Drosophila melanogaster: one gene and its partners. The protein of the gene in region 1 interacts with the protein of each later gene in a pairwise test. Each region holds a gene or a part of one and is shown on either strand. Other genes may lie near its edges.

Region 1 (4,685 bases):
CAGAGAATAATTATTTGTTACACGCAGCATTTTTATTATTAAGTTGTAGTGTTGGGTTAAACTTCTTTGGAAAAATATGACATAGGGTTAACTGTTTTAATGTTGGGAGAGGCTAACACCGTTGGTTGCAGATGTGAATGATGGGGGATGGTGATGAAGTGAGAACAGCTGATTTTGGCAAAGTAACTTGCGGTACCGTGGTGATCGGGAAAACTAAAACGGTTAAGCCGTAGTTGCCGGCTTTGCTTTGCTTTTAGCACGTTTGCACTTACCTCTCTGGCCATTACGACATGTTATCACCAGCGGCACCCGCTTAGAGGGTCTGCCATTTGCTCAGCGGCAATAACAACAAAAACAACACGGGAGCGCCTCTTAGAGCGAGGGAGTGGGAGAGGCAACAACAAAGCACACGCTTTTCGCGATACGAGAACTCTCGTGCGTCTACTTAAGTATGTGTGTGTGTAGGCGGCAAGCGGTATAGACGGAGAGACAGAGAGAAAGAGTGTGGGAGGAGTGTGTGCGTGTGAGTGTCTCAAAAATTCTCTACTACACGTTTATTTTCAATCTTCTCTTCCCGCACATTTCTCCAACGCGCCGATGCTGTTTCGTTCTTCCTCTTGCTTTTCTATCCTGTCCTTTGGCTTCCTTTCCTTCTTCCTCTCCACACCAATCACTGCGTGGGTATGTGTGTATAGGTGTGTATTGGAATTCGCAAAGGTATTTGATTAGGAAAGCTGGGATTTGTTTAAACAATTAGCATGCATCACTTTTTGCAAATTTGTTACAGTAACTTGGGTCAACCCACGCCCACTTTTATAGGTGCGGCTGTTGGGCAGGATTTGCTTTTTGGCAGTGGTGGTGGTGTACGTGTGCGGGATGCTTCTGTGTGCGTGCGAGAGAGCACATTGGAGTACCGTTATCGCTGGAGCCACATTTTCTTATTTGACATACACTTTTTTGTTGCACACGCACACGCGTTTCGTTGTTTTTTTTTTGTTACTTTAGTAAAATTTATTTTCTATACTCTCTTTCTTGAAAGCTTTCTTTTAACCGTTTTTTGTCCTTATCTCTTGGTATGTACGACACACACGCTTCACATACGTTCTAGTTTTTGGCAGTTGTTCAATTGTTCGAATTAATTCCGATTTCGGAATTTGTTGTTTTAACGATTTATGAGTTTTTTCGGTGCGGAAACAATAACATTTAATTCATTTTAAGCCGAGAAGAAATGCAAATCAATTTTTATTTTCGGCAACACTCGAAGAACTATCGTTATCGATTGCGATTTCTTTTACCTGTAGTATTTCGTGTAACATACTTTTGGGTGGTGCAGAAAAGAGTCACGCTCGAATATACTAAACTGGGCTGCCAACTTAGCTTTTGATTTGTTTTCTTGATTTTATATTAACACACCAAATAAAGAAATTGCTTAAGACAACTGTCCCTTTTAAGATATTATTTCCCAGATTAATATACGTATATTTGATTATTGGTGACAATTTTGGATACAAAAGCCAAAGTTATCGGCCACTTTAATACTAATAAAATATGACCAATATTTGGCATTTCTTGTCTAAATATTTGCAGCCACTCTAAGATTAATATTTTACCAACTTCTTTTAGCAATAAAAAGTAAATATCTTTACTGAAAACGTCAACTAAGGTCTCCCACATACAACTTAAAATGGACGACATACGTAGCAGCATAGATGATATGATGGACCGCTTTAACGACAGCATTACCCATTCGGCACCCAAGAAACTACTTTTCAACCGGCTTTCCGCCTCCTTCGATTTAGGAGTTTGTAAGTTGTAATTTACAGGCGCGAACGTAGAAACTAACAAGTAACTCCTCTACTAGCACCCAATAAGCGACGTCGGGAACGGGAATCACCGGAACGCAGTCTTAACGACACCGCCTCTTCCCTCAATATGCCCGCCAACGATTCCATGGCTTCTTTGCAGAACAGCAAACTACGGACCGAGCTGATCGAAACCAAGGCCATAGTAATTCAGCTGCGTAACGAAATCGAAAAGAAGAGCCGGGAACACAAAGAGGCCATATTGCTGGCTGAGAACAAGAGCACGGCCTTAAAGGATCAGTGCGACATCACCAGCAAGAAGAATTTGGAGCTGCAGGACGATCTTAAGGCGCTTCGTAAGCGAGAGCTGGTCTTGAAGAATGAGGCCAGTCGGGCCACCGCCGAGTTGAACCAACTTAGGCTTAAGTTCGATGAATCCACGCTCAAGTTGCAGAAGGAGAAGTACCTGCAGAAGGAGGATGCCCGCGATGTGCACCTGTGCATCAACAACGAACTGAGCGAATATCGCCGCATAGCCCAGCGGGCCGATCTCGAACTGCAGTCTACGCGCAACGAACTGGAGCGCCTACGTCAACTCAATGAGGAGTTACAGGCCAGGGCTTCCGGATTCGAGCAGCTGCGCGCCAATCACGAGAAGCAAACGCAAAGCTTGAAGGTGGCCAACGATCGCATTCAGGAGCTGGAGTTCGAAATTCAGTCGTATAGCGACTGGAAGGAGGTGGTCAAAACCTCACGAGAGCGCCTGGCCAGTGTTCCAGATTTGCTAGCTGAGGTGGAGCATCTGCGCAGCCACAACAAGCATTTAAACACTCTGATAGGCGATAAATTGCTTCTGGAGGAGCAGGTCTACGACTACAAAACGCGACTGGAGCGGGAGGAAGGTGCTCGGGCGGAAGCAGCTTCCCTGCAGGTGAAACTGCTTCACATGGAGCAAGAACTCAAGGAATGGGTCAAGGTGGCCCAGGATCACTGCTTGGCCAACACTTTGGTCAGCCCAATGGCCCTACGCTCGCGCATTGAGCAACTGCTAAAAGAAGACATCATTCACGTGGCAGAGAAGACATCATCGGCTTCGGATACCAAGCATTTGAATGTAGGTTTTGTCCAATGTGTTCCAAGTCCAATTTATCTGACTCCATTTTATAGACCACAATTCGAGATCTAGAGCATAAGTGCGCCATTTACTTGAAGAACATCGAGGATCTCAATATCGGACTGAAACGCCACAAGAACTTCAAGGAGCGACTGCAGCGCAAACTGATCACCGTGTCTAAGGAGCGCGACTTCTACAAACAACTGGTGGAAAACTTCGACAAGGACACGACCCTGAGCAATGCCAGTGTGGCGGACATGACGCAGGACATGCAGGTGCGGGTCCGAATGGAGGTGCTTGAACGCACCGTAACCGGATACAAGGACATGTGTGCCACGTTGGAACGCGAGATTCAATCCTTGCGCCAGCAGGAGCTTGTGAACGAACCTGCCGGAGAGGGATACGATAGCGTCAAAAAGGAACTGGATACGCTGCGGATGGAAAACGATCGGCTGCGTCGGCGCAAGGAGGAACTGGAGATGGAGATGATGCACCGCTGCTTGCGGGGCGACTTCAACATGAAGGACTTCAAGGTGGTACACTTTAGTGAAAATCCCGCTGCCGAAGCCTATGAGTCCACCAAAAACATGATGGAGAAGCTGCAGGCGGAGATTGAGCGACTCAAGCGGCGCAACAAGAAGTTGGAGGACGATAACGAGCAAAGGCTCAATGAAACCACCAGCACGGGCGGCATGACACTGAACTTTAAGGAGTTCAATCAACTTCAAGCCGAATTAGAGTCCGCCAATGGCAAGATGCGGAAGATGAGGGATTGCTTCAAGGCGGCCCGAGAGGAGTTCCGCGATGTGTGCTACATGCTGCTAGGCTATAGGATCGATCGAATCGGTGCCAACAGCAACTATCGGTGGGTAGCGATTCCATAGATCCTCCATCTTAGTTGCTAACATTTAATATTTCTCTTGCAGCATATCGAGCATGTTTGCAGAGGGACCGGATGACTATCTGGACATCAGCCTCAACGAATCGAACTGTTTGGCGCTACTGGAGTCGCCATATTCGCACACATTCAATCCACCTATTGATCAGCAGCTGGCAGCCAGCAACTTTCCCGCATTCTTTTCCGCCCTCACCCTAGAACTATTCCAAAAGGCCACTGTCACGATGACTTAGGTCATCATTACTTTAGTCTGTCTTAGCTTAAGCTAGCCGAGTATGAAGGCATTGAAACTTATTCTTGTCCGCATCAGATATACGATTGGTTTTTTATTTTACCACGCTAACAATAAACTTCCCCACATATAAATACATATAAATTATAGTAATGCACAATAGAAATTGGAATACCCAATCCACTAAGTGGAGGTCAGGATGTGAGCCACCTGCTCCGGCGTTCTGTGCAGCAGCTGCTCCGGCTGCTCGAAGCCGTTGGCCGGATCGTGGACGCGTTCGTAGATCTGCTTGTAGATGGCCACGATCACGTTGAAGGATCGCTTCTGAACGGCGGCCCGGTGACTGCTGGACATTATGAGCTGCACCTGCGGCAGGAGCAATACATCGGGTAGTTCCAGAAAGGCGTCCATCTTGGACATGAAGATCTTCAGCAGGTTTGTTTCTATTTTAGATTGATTGCTCTGCAGAATGGCGTAGATGGGACCCAGATTGAGGTTCGCCACCAGCGATGATGCCTGCTCGGAGGTCAGTGTGTCCAACTGGGCATCCGACTGCGCCTGCAGCCGCTCCACGCGCTCATCCATATATTCGTAGACAGCCAGCGAGCTTTGCATGTGATGCAGACAGTTCAAAAGGTA
Region 2 (7,569 bases), on another chromosome or scaffold:
GGGTTCGTTACGCGGCAGATCTACCACAAAAAGATCATTGGCAGCAGTTTGGCAGTGATGAAAACCCAGCTGACCTATGGGTTACGTACCGACGGAGCAGCTTTGCACAAGCAAAACTAGTGCGTTACCAATGGTGCAATATAGATGATAGATAAATGGATTCTGTGGAATCTTATTTAATATTTACGTATTTATTCTGTGAACTTTACATTCCAGTCACATATTGCGTCCCGAACTCAAATCACACCGAATTATGCCCTTGATGGCGTTTCTTTATCGATTCGACAATGTTTAAAGCCAGTTTAGCCAATATATAGTAAGCTAATACTCCACAAACATTCCTGCATGTCGACAGACTTTAGCCGTTGTCGGCTCGACAAAGAGTAAATTCCGTCTAGGATTAAGAAGAAACTTTATAATCTCCACACTCGAAGTTTTAATAATTGTAAACACGTTGACACTGCTTTTGTCCTGTTTTATTATCTCTGGTTTATTCTTTGACATATTCTATTTAAATAAATAAATAAAATATTTAGTAATAAATAAAATTTGCGTAATGATTTAGCGTAAATTTGATGCCACACATCTAATGTTTCGCATTTTGCTGTGTGATTCTGCTGTAGGTACATTAATTTCTTATTCTTTGATGCATTTCTCGGTTCTGTAGCCCGTTACATGGTTGAATTAAGGTGTAATTTGGAAAAAGAGTCCAGTTTATGTTTGCGTTTAAATTGCCATAGCACTGCGTATAAAAAGCCTACATGCCGGGGACATGCAATGTTTAACTAATTTCATATATCATCTGTCTGTATACACTTCGTTTTTTATTGGGATTTTATGTTCCTTTCATATAGTTGTTCTCAGTTACAATTTTGCGTTAGCGCAACTAATTCTTAAAAAAATAAACAGGAGCTGCCGGCTAGTTGCTCCGCACTGTAAATGTAACTATGTATTTAAATTTAGTTTAGTTGGTTTCACTTGCATCAACTATTTAAAGCGTGTTTCAAAACTGGCTGTGAAATTAGCATAGTTTCCCGTTTCGTTTTCATTTTATATATTGATTCTCATCTCCTGCCACGTGAGTTATAGCCATCTGCTGTTAAGGTAAATTGAATTCTTTTGGTTTCGTCGCAAACAGCCTCCTCCTCCACTTGGGTTGCTATCCTCGCATGCTGCGCCTTCCACTTGCCTCCTAGAAGAGCTTCACACGCCGCTTCAGCTCGTTGCGTCGCCACTGGGGTAGCCGATAGAACTCCGACCTGGCGCACTGCAAGATGTGTTCGAATTCGATGTCCGACAGATGGCGCTGTGGTGATAGAGAGCGTTATTTGCGTTCTGTCTGTGAAGTTGGCTTCATAACTTACCTCTAGGTTACAGCGATCCACGTCCGAGGGCAGACGGTAGTTTGTGATTAGCAGTAGGTGATAGGGATAGATCTTGGCCGGCTCGTGCACCAGCATCGAATGGGACATGTTGGGCAGACTGCGCCGGATGAGTCCGGCCTGCGGATAGTGGTAGGAGAGTGCTCCTGAGTAAGTGCTCGAGGCGGGCAGGTCGCCGCCCATCAGAGCTCGCCTATCGCCCTCGGTGATCGAGTCCACAGAAGCTGCCAGAGGAGAATTATGTTATTCTTTCGCCGAGCCGGGTTTTCAAAATATATTTCACTTACCCTCCGATTTGCCGCAGCTCAAATCTGTGCTGTGGGTCTTGTCGCCCAGTCCTCCATAGGAGAAGTCCTGTTTTCGAAAAGGGCATGGGATTAGTTTTCTGATCAAATTGAGGGACACATGCAACAATAATAAACGAAAAACCAGTGCAAGTTACAGGTGATACCAACGGGCATCCAAACACAAGACGGGGACTCAAAGGACTCTACGGCATAGCAACAACGAAAGCGGTCTTACAGTGGCACCATGCATCGTGGCCGCAGCGGATGTGGTGGAGCTGAATGTGTGGGAGCGTGGTGCTAGCCCGTATCCTGGCTTGGGCACATGGCGCAGCGCACTCACCACTGAGCAGATGTGGATGTAGATGTACATGTTGATGGTGTTCAAGTGATGTTGATATGTTCATGATGCAAATGTTCGAGTTTTAGTTGGTCAAGTGTGGATGGGTGTTAGTTTTTTGAGTTATTTGTTGTCAGGTGTCAGGGCAACAATAGCAAACACATAGTTGTTAGGAGTGGCGCAGGATGGGTGGATGGGTGGGATTGGGTTTTCAGACACGCAATGAAGCAGCAGACCAACCAGTTGAGACATATGCGAAACAGTTGTTAGTTCATCCAGGTGAGCAAACCAGTGGCGGCATTGGAAAGTGAGAGAAACAAGAAACAAATACCGTCGTAACTATTTTGGGATTACATATAAGCGGATAGGTTCGTGTGGTAGTGGGTAAGCTATAAGCTACATAACCGACAGCCCGGCACCAAGGATATAATCTGATCTGATCGGATCGGATCGGATCTGATGCGATCTATGCCGATCTGAGCAACAGGCAGCACTTACGGAGCTGAAGCCATTGCGTATATAGGGCAGAGTCGTCGTTTTGAATCCGTATCCGGGCTTGGGCGGCGATCGGTAGGAATGTATGGCTATAAACGTAAGTGGGCTAATATATAATATCGGTATCGAATCGCTATTTGCCTGAAAATCGAAACTAGGACAATGCTCTCTAGAGGATTACCATTGTAGCTGGGCGCGTTTCCAAGCGATTTGCCAAGCGAGCCACGGTAGCTGGTGGAGCGATCGAACATCTCGTCCTCGTAGAAGGGCTTCTGGTGGTCCAGATTGCGCGATGGCGATGCTCCAATGGGCGATTCGTATCTGTGTAATCAAGATGTCATAGGATTAGTATTACTACACTATACTATATACTATAACCATATGTTTTGCTATCTTATCGTTCTATTTTTAAAACAAATAATAATAGATTTCTTCAAGTGCAAAATACACCGAGCACGAACTAGAAGATACATTTTTCAATTTTCTTATAACGATCAATTTTCATTATCATCATTTTTCAATTTTCTTATAACGATCAATATCTTACCTCAATTTGTAGAGTGGCTCCTTGGAAGCGGAGGGCGTCCTGGATGCGTTGCGCGGATCCAAATTGTTCTGCTTCCACTTCCTGTACTTGGCGTGCTCCTTGAGGTCCTTGGCAATCGCCGATCCGATGCCCGAGTTAAGCTTTTCCAGCTGTTCGGCTTCGCGTTGAAGGCGTCTGTATTTTTGGGAAGAGATTTAATAGGATCTAGGATCATAGCATGCACAAGAGATTCCAATACTCACTGCTGCTCCTCGCCATTCTTGACCTTGCCATTCGGCTTGCCATTCTCCACATTCTCGTCCTCATCATCGGAGGCGGGCACTCCCTTGTAGGTATCACTGTATCGCCGCCTACGCTCCGGATCCGTGTAGGGATACGGCGGAGCGGGAAAGTCATCCCGCTCGATCTTGGGCTGCTCACCTGGCGGCGGCTTCTTGGCGGCCGGATAGTGAGACAGTTCAATCGGCTCCTCGTTGTTCATGCCAGGACTCTTGGGACGCGGCGTCTCCGAGCGGATGGCGTCCACCAGCACCTTCATGGCGCTGCGGGTCCGCGAGTGGGGACGCGACGGCGGGCGGCTTCCGGCCACGGATCCCGCATTGCTGGCGGTGGTCGCGTATGAGGAGGGCCGATGGAAGTGCGGCGACAGCGGCGTCTTGTCATACGGATCGATCGGCTTGCGCAGATAGTGCGGCGCATCCGTCAGATAGCTGTAGGTGTAGATGCGCGAGATGTCCTCGGCATTGGGTCGTCCGTACTCCCGGAGTATCAGACCCGGACTCACCGTTCGGTAGTGCTGCAAATTAAGTGGGATTAGTCCTGGGCTCTCATTTCAAAGTTTAAATACATGCAGTGCCGTGTGTTTTTCTTTTCGGTTTTAGTATTTTCAAAAACGATGGCAGAAAATGAGGGGAAATCATAAAGTAAAATTATAAAACAAACCTTGCGGCTAGAGGAATAAAGTGAACCATTAAAGCTCGGAGTTCTGGAGCGGATGTACTGAAAACGAACGAAAAAATAAAAACGCAAGCTCAAAACAACTAAAATGCAAGTAACTGAAATTATAAAATCATAAGTGCTGTGTGTAGGTGCAAAAAGGGGGTGGTAAATTGAGATGGGTGATATTTTCAGGGTGCCTATATAAATATAATATATAAGGTTCTAAAATAGTTCTAAAATATCACCCATTCTAGTATGAAATTTGATTTTAAATGCGTGTGCCTTTCGTGAATTTTGCAGCATTCAAATTAGTTGCAAGCTCAGCAGCCTCTTTAAACTCGGGATTGTTGTGTTGGAGTCTCGAGAATTATCTCAGTACCAGCGGTTTATCATCTGTAGATCCGACTACTTACCATCTCGCTAAGGGCACTGGAGCTCATCCGGTCGCATTCAGTGTCTGTGAAGTTGCCATTGGAGGCACCTCCGACCACCGACGAAGTGCCTCCGCCGCCGTTCAAAATTATGCCGGACTCGGAGGGACCCGGACCGCATCGCGGATGCCAGATGGCACTGCCCTGCAGGTACATCTCCTCGCCGTCGCCGAAGGGATCGCCGCACTTTGTGCAGCGGGCACAGGTCGGATGGAAGTGGTGGTTGTCGCCCGCCTGGAGCACCTTGCCGCTAATGAAGCGACTGCAGTAGGCACACTTCACCCCGAATCCCTTCTGGTAGCACTTCTCGCAGTAGGGCACCGCGTCTTTGCCCATGTACTCCCCATTGAGCACCGCCTGGCAGGCCTTGCACCGGAAACAAGAGACATGCCACTGCCGGTCCAACGCCACCAGTGCCTGGCCCTCCTTCAGCAGCTCCCCACAGCCGGCACAGTCATTGGGATCGTAGTCCTCCTTGAGGTGCGCCTTATGAGAGATCACACTGCCGTGCTGCTGGTGGGCAGTGGCTCTCGTCGGACTCTCCGCCGGAGGAGCTGGCGAGGAGACGCCTCCACCCGTCGCCTGGCGACTGGGCGACACTGGAGCACCCGTGACGCATTGCTCGCAAAGCACCTCCTTTCCGGTGTTGGTCACCTGTGAGGAGGAATATGTGATTAGTTACTTATCACTCGATCTGTGGAGGGTTTCAGCTCACCTTACTGCCCGACTTGAAGGGCTGCTTGCACTTGGAGCAGGTGAAGCACTTCTGGTGATAGGTCTTGCCCATGGTGCTGACCACCTCGCCCTCCACATACTGCTGGCAATTTGCGCACTTGGTGCCGTACAGCCGCTGATAGTCCGGTATGCAATAGTAGGCGTTGTCCTTTGTGAAGAATCCGCCGGTGGCCAGGGACTTCTTGCACTGGCAGCACTGGAAGCAGGCCTTGTGGAAGTGGTTGTCCGCCACGCGGAGCACCTCGCCGGAGCACTTCTTCGTGCATTTCGCACAGTAGATTTTTTGTTTACCTGTTTGCGGGGAAAAGGGGACGAAAACGAAGGGAGAACTACGGTTAGTAGAGCCTGACATTAAATTCATTCAATCAGTACTATCGCCAGATTACGTATACGCAGTGTTGCGCTGATGTCATATGCATGTGATGCGATAATGCCCCAACCTTGCCCCGTTTTACCGAGCTCAGTTCGAAGCTCCGTTCCCAATGTGCTAGGGTATATCGGTCTGGTCTTGTCTGTTTGTGGATGTTTCGGAATGGATATATATATTAATATATACATCACAACTTATCGTATATCGTATGTTGCGAGATTCGTTGTATGTGTGTGTGCGTTGTTTCCCCCACACTTGTGTGCCTATGTAAGCACTTGTATTGACAGTCACAACCAGGCCAACTCTTCTACACACCCCGACATGGCCGTAAGTCGTTTGTAGTCTGACTCACGGGTCTGGCAAGCCATTAATCTTATCATTGATAAGGCCAAGGGCAGATATTTTCTTTATATAAAGACAGCACACACACAAACACTGCTCGTTAATGTACACACAAGTGTGGAACAGGTTAAATAGATGTGTGACATGGAGCCCCCAGTTTTGCATATGTCCATGGGGGTAGCATGCACATGTGTACATAGTGTGAGAAATATCCCAACCAACTGCAAATAAACTGCAAGGTAGAAGCAAAGACACTAGAATAACTAGTGTCTTTGGTAGAAGATAACAAGCATTCATAAAGAATTACTTGGAATGCGAAAGGGGGACAAAACTGCCACCCTTTGAGAATCACTGAAAGTAAAGCGACTTCTGGGAAGACTCTGCCGTATTGAAACTTTAGATACGTTTGCTTTATCACCTGTTGAATCAATAATCTGACCAGACTCAGATATTTGCTATCTGATCGTTTGTATCTGGTTCAGGAGCTATATATTCTCATATATATTCTCATGAGTTGACTTACATGCCAACACATAGTGTTCCTTATTGCAAGATCAGTCATGAAGGGAACTTGGAGCTCGGAACTCGGCACCATGACGGCTGAACGCATCGAAACTAATTGTTGGCCATGACTGATGTGCTGATCTGTTCTGGCGGCTTTCTTGTCCGCCGGAGGCAGAAGTCTGCGGTTGATTAAATAGACAGCGGAACATCCCAGCCACACCACATCGGCTAAAAGCAGCCGCTTGCAGTGCATAACAAGAGTAAAGATACATATACATACATACATATGCATATGTGGATAAATGTGTGTGTATGTATATAAGAGCGACCGCATTGTATCGCGCTGTCTGAACATTTTTCACCATCTCACTGTTGTTTTTTCAGGCCTTTTGGATTTTTTTGTTTTTCCCCAATTTAGTCGGCAGTTGTGTTGCTTTTTCATATTTGGGTTGCTTCCAAAATAGAAATTATTGATAAGCCCGTAGCTCAGGTTCATGTGTGCCATTAGCTTGTTCTATAATAGTGACGTATGTCTGCGCACTAACGGTATCAGCCATTATCTTGTATTAAATTGTTTATAGCATTCTCTTAATGTTTCCTATTCATGGAGAACTAATCAAGAACATTAAATTGTGTGACTAGAATAAGAACTATTCTGACTAGACTCATTAAAAACTTTAAAAGCTTCATTTGTAAGTAGATTTAAATGTGCTAAGTGATAAGAGGAAAACTAAGAATTATATAGAATTTAGAGGGAGAGCAACGGTCTAGATGTTCTTTCCACTGTTTATTTTGAATTTAAAACCAATACTATTACTTAATATACACGATCAATCTACCAGGTTACCAACACATCTCAATATGGCGAGAATAGTACATACACAAAAATTCAAGAATGAATATTTATTTGTGCGGTGACGCCACCGAAATTTTTCACATTCGGCGGTCCAGTTGGAATGAAAGACGACCTGATAATACAAACTCAGATACAGATACACCGGCTCAGTTTCAGATACATTTACGGATACATGTGTATATTGTTCGACAGAGAGCGGGCTTTCGTCACCAACTTGGACTTCCGCCCCATAGTTTGTTTAAAGTTCGTGTACGTGCTCTGCCCGTTTTAATTAATTTCATTATGTTTCGCTGACTATCTGCCTTGTTTATTATGCAATCACACACATTTTGTTCCACAATTTG
Region 3 (7,547 bases), on another chromosome or scaffold:
TCAAGGCCGCTGAAATTTTTATTTACTTTTTATCTTACCAGATAAAAAATTAGCCTAGTTCTTTAGTTTTTAGCTACGTGATATTAGCCTTAAAAATATACGATTATTAATGATGTAAACTAATTAAGGCAAAGAAACAAATGGATATATTTTGATTAAAGCCAAATACTTAAGTCCTTGTGTTTGTATTTATTTTTGTATGATTGCAATATTCTGACTATATTTTATATAGATTATGAATTGCTGGGTGGGAGATATTCTGATTGTCTAATTCGCTTTTGATTATAAAGGATTTTGAAACATAATAATCATATAATATGGATAGAACGTGAAGTTCTTTAACGAGAAAGTGTGACTCTTTCGAGCACGTACTACACTTTATGCTTTGTATTTACATATATTTTATTATTTTTATAGTTTATTATGAACCCACTGGAAGTGTACCGCTTATCATCTAGAGACCCGCCTACCGTTATCATCCTTGCTGCTACTGCCGACGCTAGCAGAGGCAGAGACGGCGGCAGAGGCAGAGGCTGTGACGACAGCGACGGCGTTATTGATCAGTGGTGCGATTTCCATAATATTTATTTAGATATCGGAGCTCCGTTTGTTTATGTAATACACTTTATTGGCTTTACTTTTTGTGTTTGTCTTTTTCGCAAAATATTTTTGTTTGTTTGTTAATTCACATTCGCGTCTCTCTCTGTCTGCACCAGTCTTTCGATACGCTTGTGTGTTTATGTGTGAGAGAGCGCAACTGTGTGTATGTGTGTGAGAGAGCGCAACTGTGTGTGGGTGTACGAATGTGAGTATGTGTGTGTAAGCGTTTTGTCACGTATTTTTACAACGGCGTTGCTTTTGTAGTAAATATGGCTGCCAAGTTTCGAAAATTTCTGCAATCGTCCGCTTTTGTCGCACGAATTTAAATTTCCAATGCAATTTTTGTACTTGTACTCTAGTTATTCCATCGGTTGCATTACATCCTTTTGCTATTGTTCTCTCGATTTTCGCTCTCTTTCCCTCAACATGTTTTGCATTTGCATTTAATTCTGTTGTTGCTATTGCTGTTTTTGTTGCTGTGTCGTCGTTTTTGTTATTGCTATAGTCGTTGTCGTTTTTGTTGTTTGTGTTCCACTCCATCCACAAAATAATTGAGTGCGCTCCACTTTGGTGCGAGGGAGACGGAAAATTCTTCGCACGCACACAGTCTCACGTTTTTCCGTTTTCTTTTCTCGCCCAGTTCACGTACTTTCCACTTTCCAATCTCAAATTATTATTTGCTCACCGAACTTTTTCGCGATCTAAATTGCCTTTATTTACACGTTGCACTTAAAATTAGCTACTATTTTGCACTATTTAACGGGCTTTTCAACTGCTCAAAACTCGCCTTCCTCTTCAGCGTCGCGTATAGAAATAGTATGAAATAAAAAATACCAGCATGCTGCTCACTAAGATACCAAAATATACCGTTTCTTTAGCGACCAGGGAAGCCAAATACAGTTGGCTCTGTGATAAATGTACTCTTACAAAGCCTGTCTTACGTTATTTGCTTATTTTTTCGGGAATATTAAAAGACAGTTTACTAATGAAAATTTTAAGAGATTATTATAATGATTTCAATAATTCACAGTTAGATTCCCTTCCGTTGCACTTACTTGTAGTTGTATACAAATAGTGTTTATTTTATTTTTAATTATTTAAAAATATGTGATCTCTTATTTTAATTTCGAAAAAAAATGTGAAGAGATATTTCAAACAGATCTCCTTAAAATTAGCTTACGTTTACGATTTAATAACAATATCGATATAACGAAATGTCCACCAAAGTATCACAATATAAATAAGTGTATTCTCAAAAATATCGATACACTGATATTGTTATGCATTTCTCACATCTCTATCGCCATACCAATCGTTTCGTGTTTCGACTTTTCCAGGCCAACCAAAAAACGATTTTTCCGTACTGAAAAGTGCAATTCGCGCAAGGAAAATCTTCGATGTGGTCCTTTTAAGCCATCAAGATTGCATTTTCGAAATTTTCCGCCTGCAGCTGGCCCTGGACGTGCTTTGTATCCGTAGAGAACAGAGACGCAAAGGTTGGGACACCAACATATACATCGAAATCTAAACCAACATCATCCGCGTGTGTGTGTGTGTGGTGTGTGCTTGTGGGTGGACCAGGTTACCTTTCAGTTTTAAGGTGTTCCATGGAGTGAATGTTGTAAAAGCGATTGAACATATATCACATGAATAAAAGAGATTTCAGTTTTAATTAAATTAGGTTGAAGATAATTCCACAAGCATATTATTGAACTAGAGAACTGTTTATCTTAACCATCGATTAACTCAACCTGCCAATTTGTTTACCAATTAAAGTACATGTTTTAATTTTAAAACTTAGCTATTTTAAGATTCAAAACAGAAGTTTCAAGTAACGATCTTTTAGCTTAAAGTTTCTAAATATTTAAGGATTATTAATATTTATTTTATATCATTTATACGAATGGTGGATTGTTAAACTTAACGTGTTGAATGAATACCTTAAATAACACTCGTATTAGTGTTAAGATGTTTCTTTAGTCGAAAGGTCCACCTTAGTATCCGCAGATCCGAAGTTGTGAATGTGTGCGTGTTACACAGCATGTCTGTGTGTGGGTGGTGCAAAAGGGCGGAGGACAAGAAAAATAAATCAGAATTTCCACATCCAGTGCCCAGAATATGAATTATTTGCATCAAAAATGTACAATTACTTAATTTATTAAGTAAACAGTCGCTTCAAGAAGATATTAAACGAAGCACAATGTCCTTGTAAATTGATTAGTTACTTACTTACTTATAATCGAGTTCAATGCCGCCCTTCTACGCCCTACCTACGCATTGATTTAATTTACTTTGACTTGACCATTAATCACTATTCTACTATATACTACCATTTCTGCCCACAGATAGACGCCGTGTGGGGTTGGGTTGCTTCCGGCCCGCTGCGCTTAGCAGCGAACAGAATGGGCGACCTGCCGGGCTCGGGCTCCACCGCTCAACCACGGGATGCTGGTAAGGATTTGATAGGAGCTTGGTTTGGAATTGGGAAGAGAGCAAGCCAGGGGCAACCTGTGTGCCTCATGTGACTTTAAATACTTCATATTTGTTCGTAAGACTATGATCTTTCAGCTAAAAAATACTATTAGAAAAGGTTTTTCCTTCATAAAAAAGTATTTGAACTCTCATTCACAATTCCAATTAATCGGTACCATTAAGTTTATTTGTACTATTCCAAACATATGGTATTTTTATACTCAAAATCATTATGTATGCCAACAGCTGTCACCGGTACCGGTGGTAATTCCACGGCTGGTGGCGGCTCCTCCGTTGGATCTACGGCAGTGGACCGACCTCCGTCGCCCGCCCGCCTCTCTCACACGTCCGAGAAACATCCGAAGGTCACGCTCACTGAACTAAATATGCTACGGCGCCATCGGGAGCTCTGCGATGTGGTGCTCAACGTGGGCGGACGGAAGATCTTTGCCCACCGGGTAATCCTGTCCGCCTGCAGCTCCTACTTCTGTGCCATGTTCACTGGCGAATTGGAGGAATCGCGCCAGACTGAGGTCACCATACGCGACATCGATGAGAATGCCATGGAGCTGCTCATCGACTTTTGTTACACCGCCCACATAATCGTCGAGGAGTCGAATGTCCAGACCCTCCTTCCCGCCGCCTGCCTGCTTCAACTGGTTGAGATTCAGGACATCTGCTGCGAGTTCCTCAAACGGCAATTGGATCCCACCAACTGCCTGGGCATACGCGCCTTTGCCGACACACACTCCTGCCGGGAACTTCTACGGATCGCCGACAAATTCACGCAGCACAACTTCCAGGAGGTGATGGAGAGCGAGGAGTTTCTGCTGCTCCCCGTCGGCCAGCTGGTGGACATCATTTGCAGCGACGAGCTAAACGTGCGCTCCGAGGAGCAGGTCTTCAACGCGGTCATGTCCTGGCTCAAGTACAATGTCGCCGAGCGGCGACAACATCTGGCACAGGTGAGCTACTGTAAACCATATCTGATTACTACTCACCGATTCCTACTTGTTCCGTTTGATAATTACTTTGGAATAATATAAACAGCTCAATTTTTAAGTATTGCAACTAATAAATAAATAATGAATTGATATTTTCGAATATTCTCAGGTGCTCCAACACGTCCGTCTGCCTCTGCTGTCGCCAAAGTTCCTGGTTGGCACGGTGGGCTCTGATCTCCTGGTGCGCAGCGACGAGGCCTGCCGGGATTTGGTGGATGAGGCTAAGAACTATCTGTTGCTTCCGCAGGAGCGACCGCTGATGCAGGGTCCACGCACCAGACCGCGAAAGCCAACTCGACGAGGCGAAGTCCTGTTCGCCGTGGGCGGTTGGTGTTCCGGCGATGCTATTGCCTCCGTGGAGCGTTTCGATCCTCAGACCAACGACTGGAAAATGGTCGCTCCCATGAGCAAACGACGCTGCGGAGTTGGCGTGGCCGTGTTAAATGATCTACTTTACGCCGTGGGCGGTCACGATGGCCAGAGCTATCTGAATAGCATCGAGCGTTATGATCCACAAACGAATCAATGGTCCTGCGACGTTGCGCCCACCACTTCCTGCCGCACCAGCGTCGGCGTGGCTGTGCTCGACGGCTTCTTGTACGCGGTGGGTGGCCAGGATGGCGTTCAATGTTTGAACCACGTGGAGCGCTACGATCCAAAAGAGAACAAATGGTCGAAAGTGGCACCGATGACAACAAGGCGACTGGGAGTGGCGGTAGCCGTGCTTGGAGGATTTCTCTACGCAATTGGCGGCTCCGATGGACAGTGCCCGTTGAACACCGTAGAGCGATATGATCCCAGGTAAATCATAAATAAAGCATTTAAAAGCTTTAGACGTACAAGTACATTTTCTATCGCTTGTAACAAATGACCTTAATGTACATTGCACTTGAACGTAGTATTTGTTTGATTTACATTGCCCCGATTTTATCATTACAGACACAACAAATGGGTAGCAGTCAGCCCGATGTCAACGCGACGCAAGCACCTGGGCTGTGCTGTGTTCAATAACTACATTTACGCCGTCGGCGGGCGAGACGATTGCATGGAGCTCTCGTCCGCCGAGCGCTACAATCCACTGACCAATACCTGGAGCCCCATCGTGGCCATGACCTCCCGCCGCAGTGGGGTGAGTTTTTGTTACACTTTTTCTCGGCGAATAGTATTGTATTAAATGAAATCGCACCATTTTAGGTTGGCCTGGCCGTCGTCAATGGACAGCTGTATGCTGTGGGCGGCTTTGATGGTTCCGCCTATTTGAAAACCATCGAGGTCTACGACCCAGAGACGAACCAATGGCGTTTGTGCGGCTGCATGAACTACCGCCGACTGGGCGGCGGCGTGGGCGTTATGCGTGCCCCTCAGACTGAGAACTATATGTGGTGCGAAAATAGTTTTAAGCAACCGAATTCCTGAAACTAACTCAACTCCCATCCCTTCCATTGCTGATGAAATGTTGTCTTGTCTCTCTTTTCCCCCCGAAAACATGCTAACAAATTCAGGATACGGAAAGATTCTGTTGTCTGATGGGAACAGCAGCCGACAACGTTGCCCTCGCAAACGTTGCCGCCGCCGCACTTCTACTAACAATATCCGCAATCGAAGCCAAATCTAATCGACTAAACAAAACATCTTTTCGCCCCATTGTCTACTAGCAGTGTAATCGCTTTGTATTAATTGTTAATTGTTTATTTGGTAGAGCCTAAAGCGCATGTTTGTTAGACTTTTCCGGAATAGTATTAGAGTTAGCATTGTTCCCACGTTCACCTGCAATAACACATCCCCATCACTCCTGTGCGTAATTATATATGATTCTACTGTATGTTAAGCAAGTATATTTTATAAATAACTTAATATCTAAATGTTGCCGGTGGTATTTCATGGAAATCGCTAGCTCATAACCATGCCTTCTTTCGAAAAAAACAAAACAAAATCAAATATTAACCTAGAAACGAATTCGATTAGTTGTAAATCCTTAAACGAAGAGCTCTAAAGTCAAGTAACAAATTGGTATTAAAATAATTTAGATTTAAGGAGTGAATTCAAGAAAGTTTGTCCGAAATTAAACATCACAATGGTGCAATATTTCGATCGACCAACTAAACGCTGTTGTTTAGTCAAGTACACTTTAAATCTTTGCAAACGTCTTCAATAATACCACGACTATATGAAGTGAACCGAATAATTGCAAAGAATTTAAAAAAATAATGAATATTCAGCCTGTCAAGCTTAAAAAAAAACCATTAAGGTAATCACACACACACACAATGAAGAAGTTAGACCTAGCCCAAGATAATTCAATAGTAACAATTAACAATTACGCAGCCGTAAGATCAACTTTAAGGTAATAAATTTTAATATTGTTAATCCTAGATCGTGTAAACCGGTAAGAGTTTTCGGCCGGAATCAGGTCAAGTTTTAAGATGACTTATTGTTAAACCAAGTTTGACCATCGAGCTGAATGAACCAACTCGAATTAATCGCTTAGATAAGGGAGTTAAAACACAAGTAGACTCTCAATAACAACACATTTTCTTTGTTGCCTTTTACACCAACACTATTAAACAATTATTTATTCAAAATTATTATTTATTACACGCTTTCGTATCTCATTTAGTTTATTTTAGGTGCACATTTATAAACTGTTGTTAAATCGAGCAAAAAGGAATGATCTTTGCTTCCAAATGATGAATAAGAATAGCATTTATAAAAAACCAAGCTTATTTATATTATAGCTTTAAGTCAAAATGGTCAACAATTATACAAAAATTCGCATACCACCCATTATGCGTAGTTAAAAAATAACATTTCCTAGTTGTGTTGAGTGGTAAAAGTGCTTAACGCAAATAATAGAAGTGTTAACCTAAGAAATGATCGTAAACCCGTGCTATGTATAAGAATATATAAAAATAAAAATATATCAAAATTAAGACACTTTGTTTCATTCAATACATTACAGCCAAGGGCGGAAATTGCTGCCAAAAAATAATTAAAAATAAATATCCAAGTGTACTATTTTGTATTATATTCTATAATTTATAAATTTGTAATGCAATCAATGTACCGTTACGCGGTACTGGTACGCATCGGTACAATAGTTACGATATTGGATCCTTTACCGATAGCCGATGCTCGAACCCGATTGTTTTTGTTTTAGGCCTTAATTCGCACACACTGATTTGGTGGCACTACACACATTTTGTTATTTTAAACATTTTTCAAGAAGTCAATATTATGATAACAATTTTATGAAAATAATTGAACTAAATGCATTCGGAACATTTCGATATACACTGCCGACCAGTGTGAACGCTTCGCGACGTGGAGAAACTTCAGGCACGTCAGCTATCGATAAATTAAAATGTGTATTCGATTAGCGTACGTTAAACAGCTGTTTATTCTGGCGCTCTTTCATACGTTCGCTGAAATAGTTTTGTATTTCTGGCCGGAAATGATGTCCCAAATTCCGGA
Region 4 (3,331 bases), on another chromosome or scaffold:
ACGATAGCACCCTGAAAACTAAGCACAGCAAACGGAAAATAAATTAAACATTTTGTGTAAAGTTCGATGACAGACCGAAGACGACAGCATGAACACGTACGAGTATATACATAATAAATATATATGAGAACAATTTAACGAGATTAAAATCAACTAAAGTAATAAAGGGAAAGTGTATAACTATTAAAACTAACGAAACGCCAAGCTCTTTCATTTCGATTTTCGCATATTGCATTCAATTTATTCACAATAATTTTCGATACATAAATTACAGGATCTAACACTAAACGGATTTAATAAAACATATTTTTGGACAATACACAATGAATTAACAGTGGGGTTAATAAGCATGCGATTGTGCGCCAGTGGCACGCCAATTAATAATTTACAATATTGCAATTGACTAAAATCTGTAAATCTCATAGGTGTCCCCATATTTGCAGGGCAAATACCCTCGGACTCGAAGCGGGGATTGGGATTGGCTTCGCTTTGCTTACGGCTAGTAACACAATTTCAATGATTTTTCGTTGCCCTTACACCTCGGAACACTTTGCTAGACATTAATGTGCTTTTAGTGGCGGGTCACCACCGGGGACTACGTCGATTTGGTTCGGAACGCTCGTATTGGATGCTCTTGAAGCGGCTACTTGCCTCCAGATGCAGCTGCTGCTGTTTCGGTTCCGGATGTCCACGAGTGACAATGTCTTTCCAAATCATGGTCAAAAGTATGAAGATAGCACCCACAATCTTGTTCAGAAACTCGATTAGTTTAAACACTATTGGAGTGGCTGTATGTGTGAAACGACTCAGCTCAAACAGGAATCGCACAGCAAATACGCCTAGGAATCGTAGCGCTAGTGCGGCTCCACCCAAGGCAGAGAAAATTAGTAGACCCAGAAACCGAATGGTGCCCAAAATGTTCCTCTTGTTGACATCGTTGGTCATGAAGTCGTACACGGTTTGTTTGACTCCATCACCCCACTGTTGCAGCACAGCCAAAAAATCATTAAGGCCCAGCTGAATTTGCTCCGCCACTTCATCCGGCTTGGAGGAGGAGTTTTCCCCACCCGCTGTGATCGCCTTAACAGGGCTACTTCTATTAAGAATCAGTGATCTCCTCGGCGTCGCCATCAGCTCTGGCTCCACGGGCCTTATCATCTTCAGTTTGAACTGGACTTCATGGTCCCGGAAGCGAAGGGTCTTGATGCTAAACCAATACTCTCCAAAAGCCAGATCATTCATCTCTGTCCAGATGCAGGTTTCCAGTTGACCAGGATCTGCTTTGTGCTGGTAACTTCCGTAACTCCCATAGGTGATGCCCACCCACATATTGGGCACGAAGCGTTGATAAAACTTTTGTAATTGGCCGGCACTCGAGTGCAGCAGCTTCTCCAACTCTCGCTCACTGCGTTGAAGCACCACCACGTCCCGGTAGCCGGACACCTGCTCCACCAAGCAGCGTTCCATATAATAACCGCGGAAGAGACGAGACTTGTAAAGCTGCTTGGTTAGTGCTTGCATGGCCAGTTCCTCGGGCGGCATATGACGTCCGCTCGCCTGTGGCATCAACGCGCTGTTGTCCATGGCTAGCTGTGTATGAAATCCTTTATTACTGGTCAGCAAATGACCTGCAGCAACCTTACCGATTGATAGTGATTGGACTTTGTTGCAACCACTTTCGCCGCTTAGTCAGCACAGCGCTTTTGTTATTGTTTGACCAAGCAATTTGTGCCAGTCAATTAAGGGTGAAATAGCTGTCAGCTGTTGCTTATTTCTTATTTTTTTTACGACCATGCATAATGCACTTAAATTTTGGCTTAATTAACTTTAAAATTCAGACATTTCAACATAAACCAGGTAGACACAAATTAGGCAAGCAGCTGTTGAGTTCGATAGCCGATAACAATAAGGGTGACCATACCATATACAGTCGATTTGCGAAGTATACAATTTTCAGTGGACTATCGCTAATGTGACGAAAAAAATTATAAAAAACATTTTTGATACTCATTTTTCCCAGTTTTTCCACCCGGCCACGTTGGTTTCCACCCACATCAAGATTTCCTCCCAACAGCGTCTGCTCGAGTGCTTCAGGATGACTTTGGTGGGCCTAGCTGCCCGCAAATTAGCGCAAAAGAAGAGGTTAGTCGCGTTTAAGAAGTACCCCAGCCGGCTTTTTTGTTGTAACCTACGAATTCTGTAACAACAGATCCGCAAAGCAAGCAGCAGACTTTCCCAATGGCATCCGGTGCCAGAAGTGCCTGCAGATCGGACACTGGAGCTATGAGTGCAAGGAGAAGCGCAAATACGTCCACCGGAGCTCGCGTACCAAGCAGCTAAGCAAGCGTATGTCCCAAAAGGAGGCTGACGCACCCAAGAACCAGGTGGAGGAGCACTCGGAAGTGGCTTCCTCGGAAGGAAAGAAGGTCCGTCGAAAGCGGAAAACGAGCAAGAGCTCCTCGTCCTCCTCCAGCTCGTCGGACAGCTCAGACAGCAGCAGCGAATCGGGCTCCTCATCCGAATCAGACTCGAGCAGCTCCAGTTCGGATTCGGACGACGAGGAAGGCAGCTCGTCAGACTCCAGTGGAAGTGGCTCGGACAGCGACAGCAGCGAGGATCAAAAGCAGGGAGCTCCACAAAAAAAGAAAAAACGAGCCGGGAGTTCACCTGAATCTTCTGACGATCAAGAGTAATCAAGAGACCGATTTGTGGTCTGTAGTATGTAGCTTTACTAGTTTAGTTTTCCCACACTTACACCGAAAATGAACATACTTTTGGTACTGTATTGTTTATATTTTAATGCTCCCAACATGTACGTTTTTCTGGTAAAGTTCCAGCCTTAATAACAATTTTAATCCGAGTCGACTTCCTCCTCGAAACGCCTCATTTGGCTTACGAGATCCAGATCTATTTGCTGGCTGTTGACGAGATGGGACTCCATCACAGTTGTGATTGGGGACTGCTCCACCGACAGATCTATGTGGAGGGGATCCCTTCCAGGGGAGCACTGCGTTTTTGGGTTCTGCTGGCCCACCACCTGAGACTTGAGATGCAGCTCCTCTACCTGTGGAACACTGAATTGGGAAAACCGTCATTGAAGCAAGAGATTTGTAGATACCTTTAGTGAATTTAATGCCTCCTGAATGACGGGGAGCACTCGGTCGAGTTTCTTCTGGATAGCAAATAGTTCAGCCTGCTCTTTTTGAAGGACTCGATTTGTTTGCAGCATTTTGAAAACAAATAATAAACTTTAACCTTAGAAAGACCCCTTTTTAATGAAGGCCTTATATGGTATACTTCCAATGGACAAGGAAATAAATGAATTGAATTT

Evidence for each region.
Region 2: the proteins of Mad1 (region 1) and Unc-115a interact in a two-hybrid assay, tested with the Drosophila melanogaster proteins (one large-scale study listed by BioGRID).
Region 3: the proteins of Mad1 (region 1) and dbo interact in a two-hybrid assay, tested with the Drosophila melanogaster proteins (one large-scale study listed by BioGRID).
Region 4: the proteins of Mad1 (region 1) and CG5516 interact in a two-hybrid assay, tested with the Drosophila melanogaster proteins (one large-scale study listed by BioGRID).

What each region holds. Positions count from the first base shown.
Region 1 is NT_033778.4:9,288,457-9,293,141, reverse strand, and holds Mad1 (mitotic arrest-deficient 1), read left to right. Parts: upstream 1-1,576; 5' UTR 1,577-1,684; coding exon 1,685-1,805; intron 1,806-1,861; coding exon 1,862-2,916; intron 2,917-2,969; coding exon 2,970-3,781; intron 3,782-3,842; coding exon 3,843-4,047; 3' UTR 4,048-4,185; downstream 4,186-4,685. Other genes in the region: Cog6 (component of oligomeric golgi complex 6), read right to left, coding at 4,230-4,685.
Region 2 is NT_033777.3:9,693,918-9,701,486, forward strand, and holds Unc-115a (uncoordinated 115a), read right to left. Parts: upstream 6,004-7,569; 5' UTR 5,712-6,003; coding exon 5,594-5,711; exon of another isoform or gene 5,515-5,593; coding exon of another isoform or gene 5,445-5,514; coding exon 5,134-5,444; intron 5,073-5,133; coding exon 4,401-5,072; intron 4,048-4,400; coding exon 3,991-4,047; intron 3,845-3,990; coding exon 3,291-3,844; intron 3,223-3,290; coding exon 3,049-3,222; intron 2,823-3,048; coding exon 2,683-2,822; intron 2,591-2,682; coding exon 2,505-2,590; intron 2,012-2,504; coding exon of another isoform or gene 1,905-2,011; intron 1,737-1,904; coding exon 1,670-1,736; intron 1,607-1,669; coding exon 1,365-1,606; intron 1,307-1,364; coding exon 1,193-1,306; 3' UTR 469-1,192; downstream 1-468. Other genes in the region: CG32939 (uncharacterized protein), read left to right, coding at 1-120.
Region 3 is NT_037436.4:15,825,001-15,832,547, forward strand, and holds dbo (diablo), read left to right. Parts: upstream 1-1,887; 5' UTR 1,888-2,096; intron 2,097-2,945; 5' UTR 2,946-3,002; coding exon 3,003-3,051; intron 3,052-3,318; coding exon 3,319-4,037; intron 4,038-4,185; coding exon 4,186-4,877; intron 4,878-5,015; coding exon 5,016-5,205; intron 5,206-5,270; coding exon 5,271-5,492; 3' UTR 5,493-5,578; coding exon of another isoform or gene 5,579-5,603; 3' UTR 5,604-7,004; downstream 7,005-7,547. Other genes in the region: DCP2 (decapping protein 2), read right to left, coding at 471-579; CG12713 (uncharacterized protein), read left to right, coding at 7,528-7,547. UniProt on the Drosophila melanogaster protein: Probable substrate-specific adapter of an E3 ubiquitin-protein ligase complex which mediates the ubiquitination and subsequent proteasomal degradation of target proteins. May have a role in synapse differentiation and growth.
Region 4 is NT_033777.3:15,961,956-15,965,286, forward strand, and holds CG5516 (uncharacterized protein), read left to right. Parts: upstream 1-1,928; 5' UTR 1,929-2,095; coding exon 2,096-2,142; intron 2,143-2,209; coding exon 2,210-2,693; 3' UTR 2,694-2,806; downstream 2,807-3,331. Other genes in the region: CG4287 (uncharacterized protein), read right to left, coding at 583-1,584; CG32856 (uncharacterized protein), read right to left, coding at 2,852-3,064, 3,119-3,229.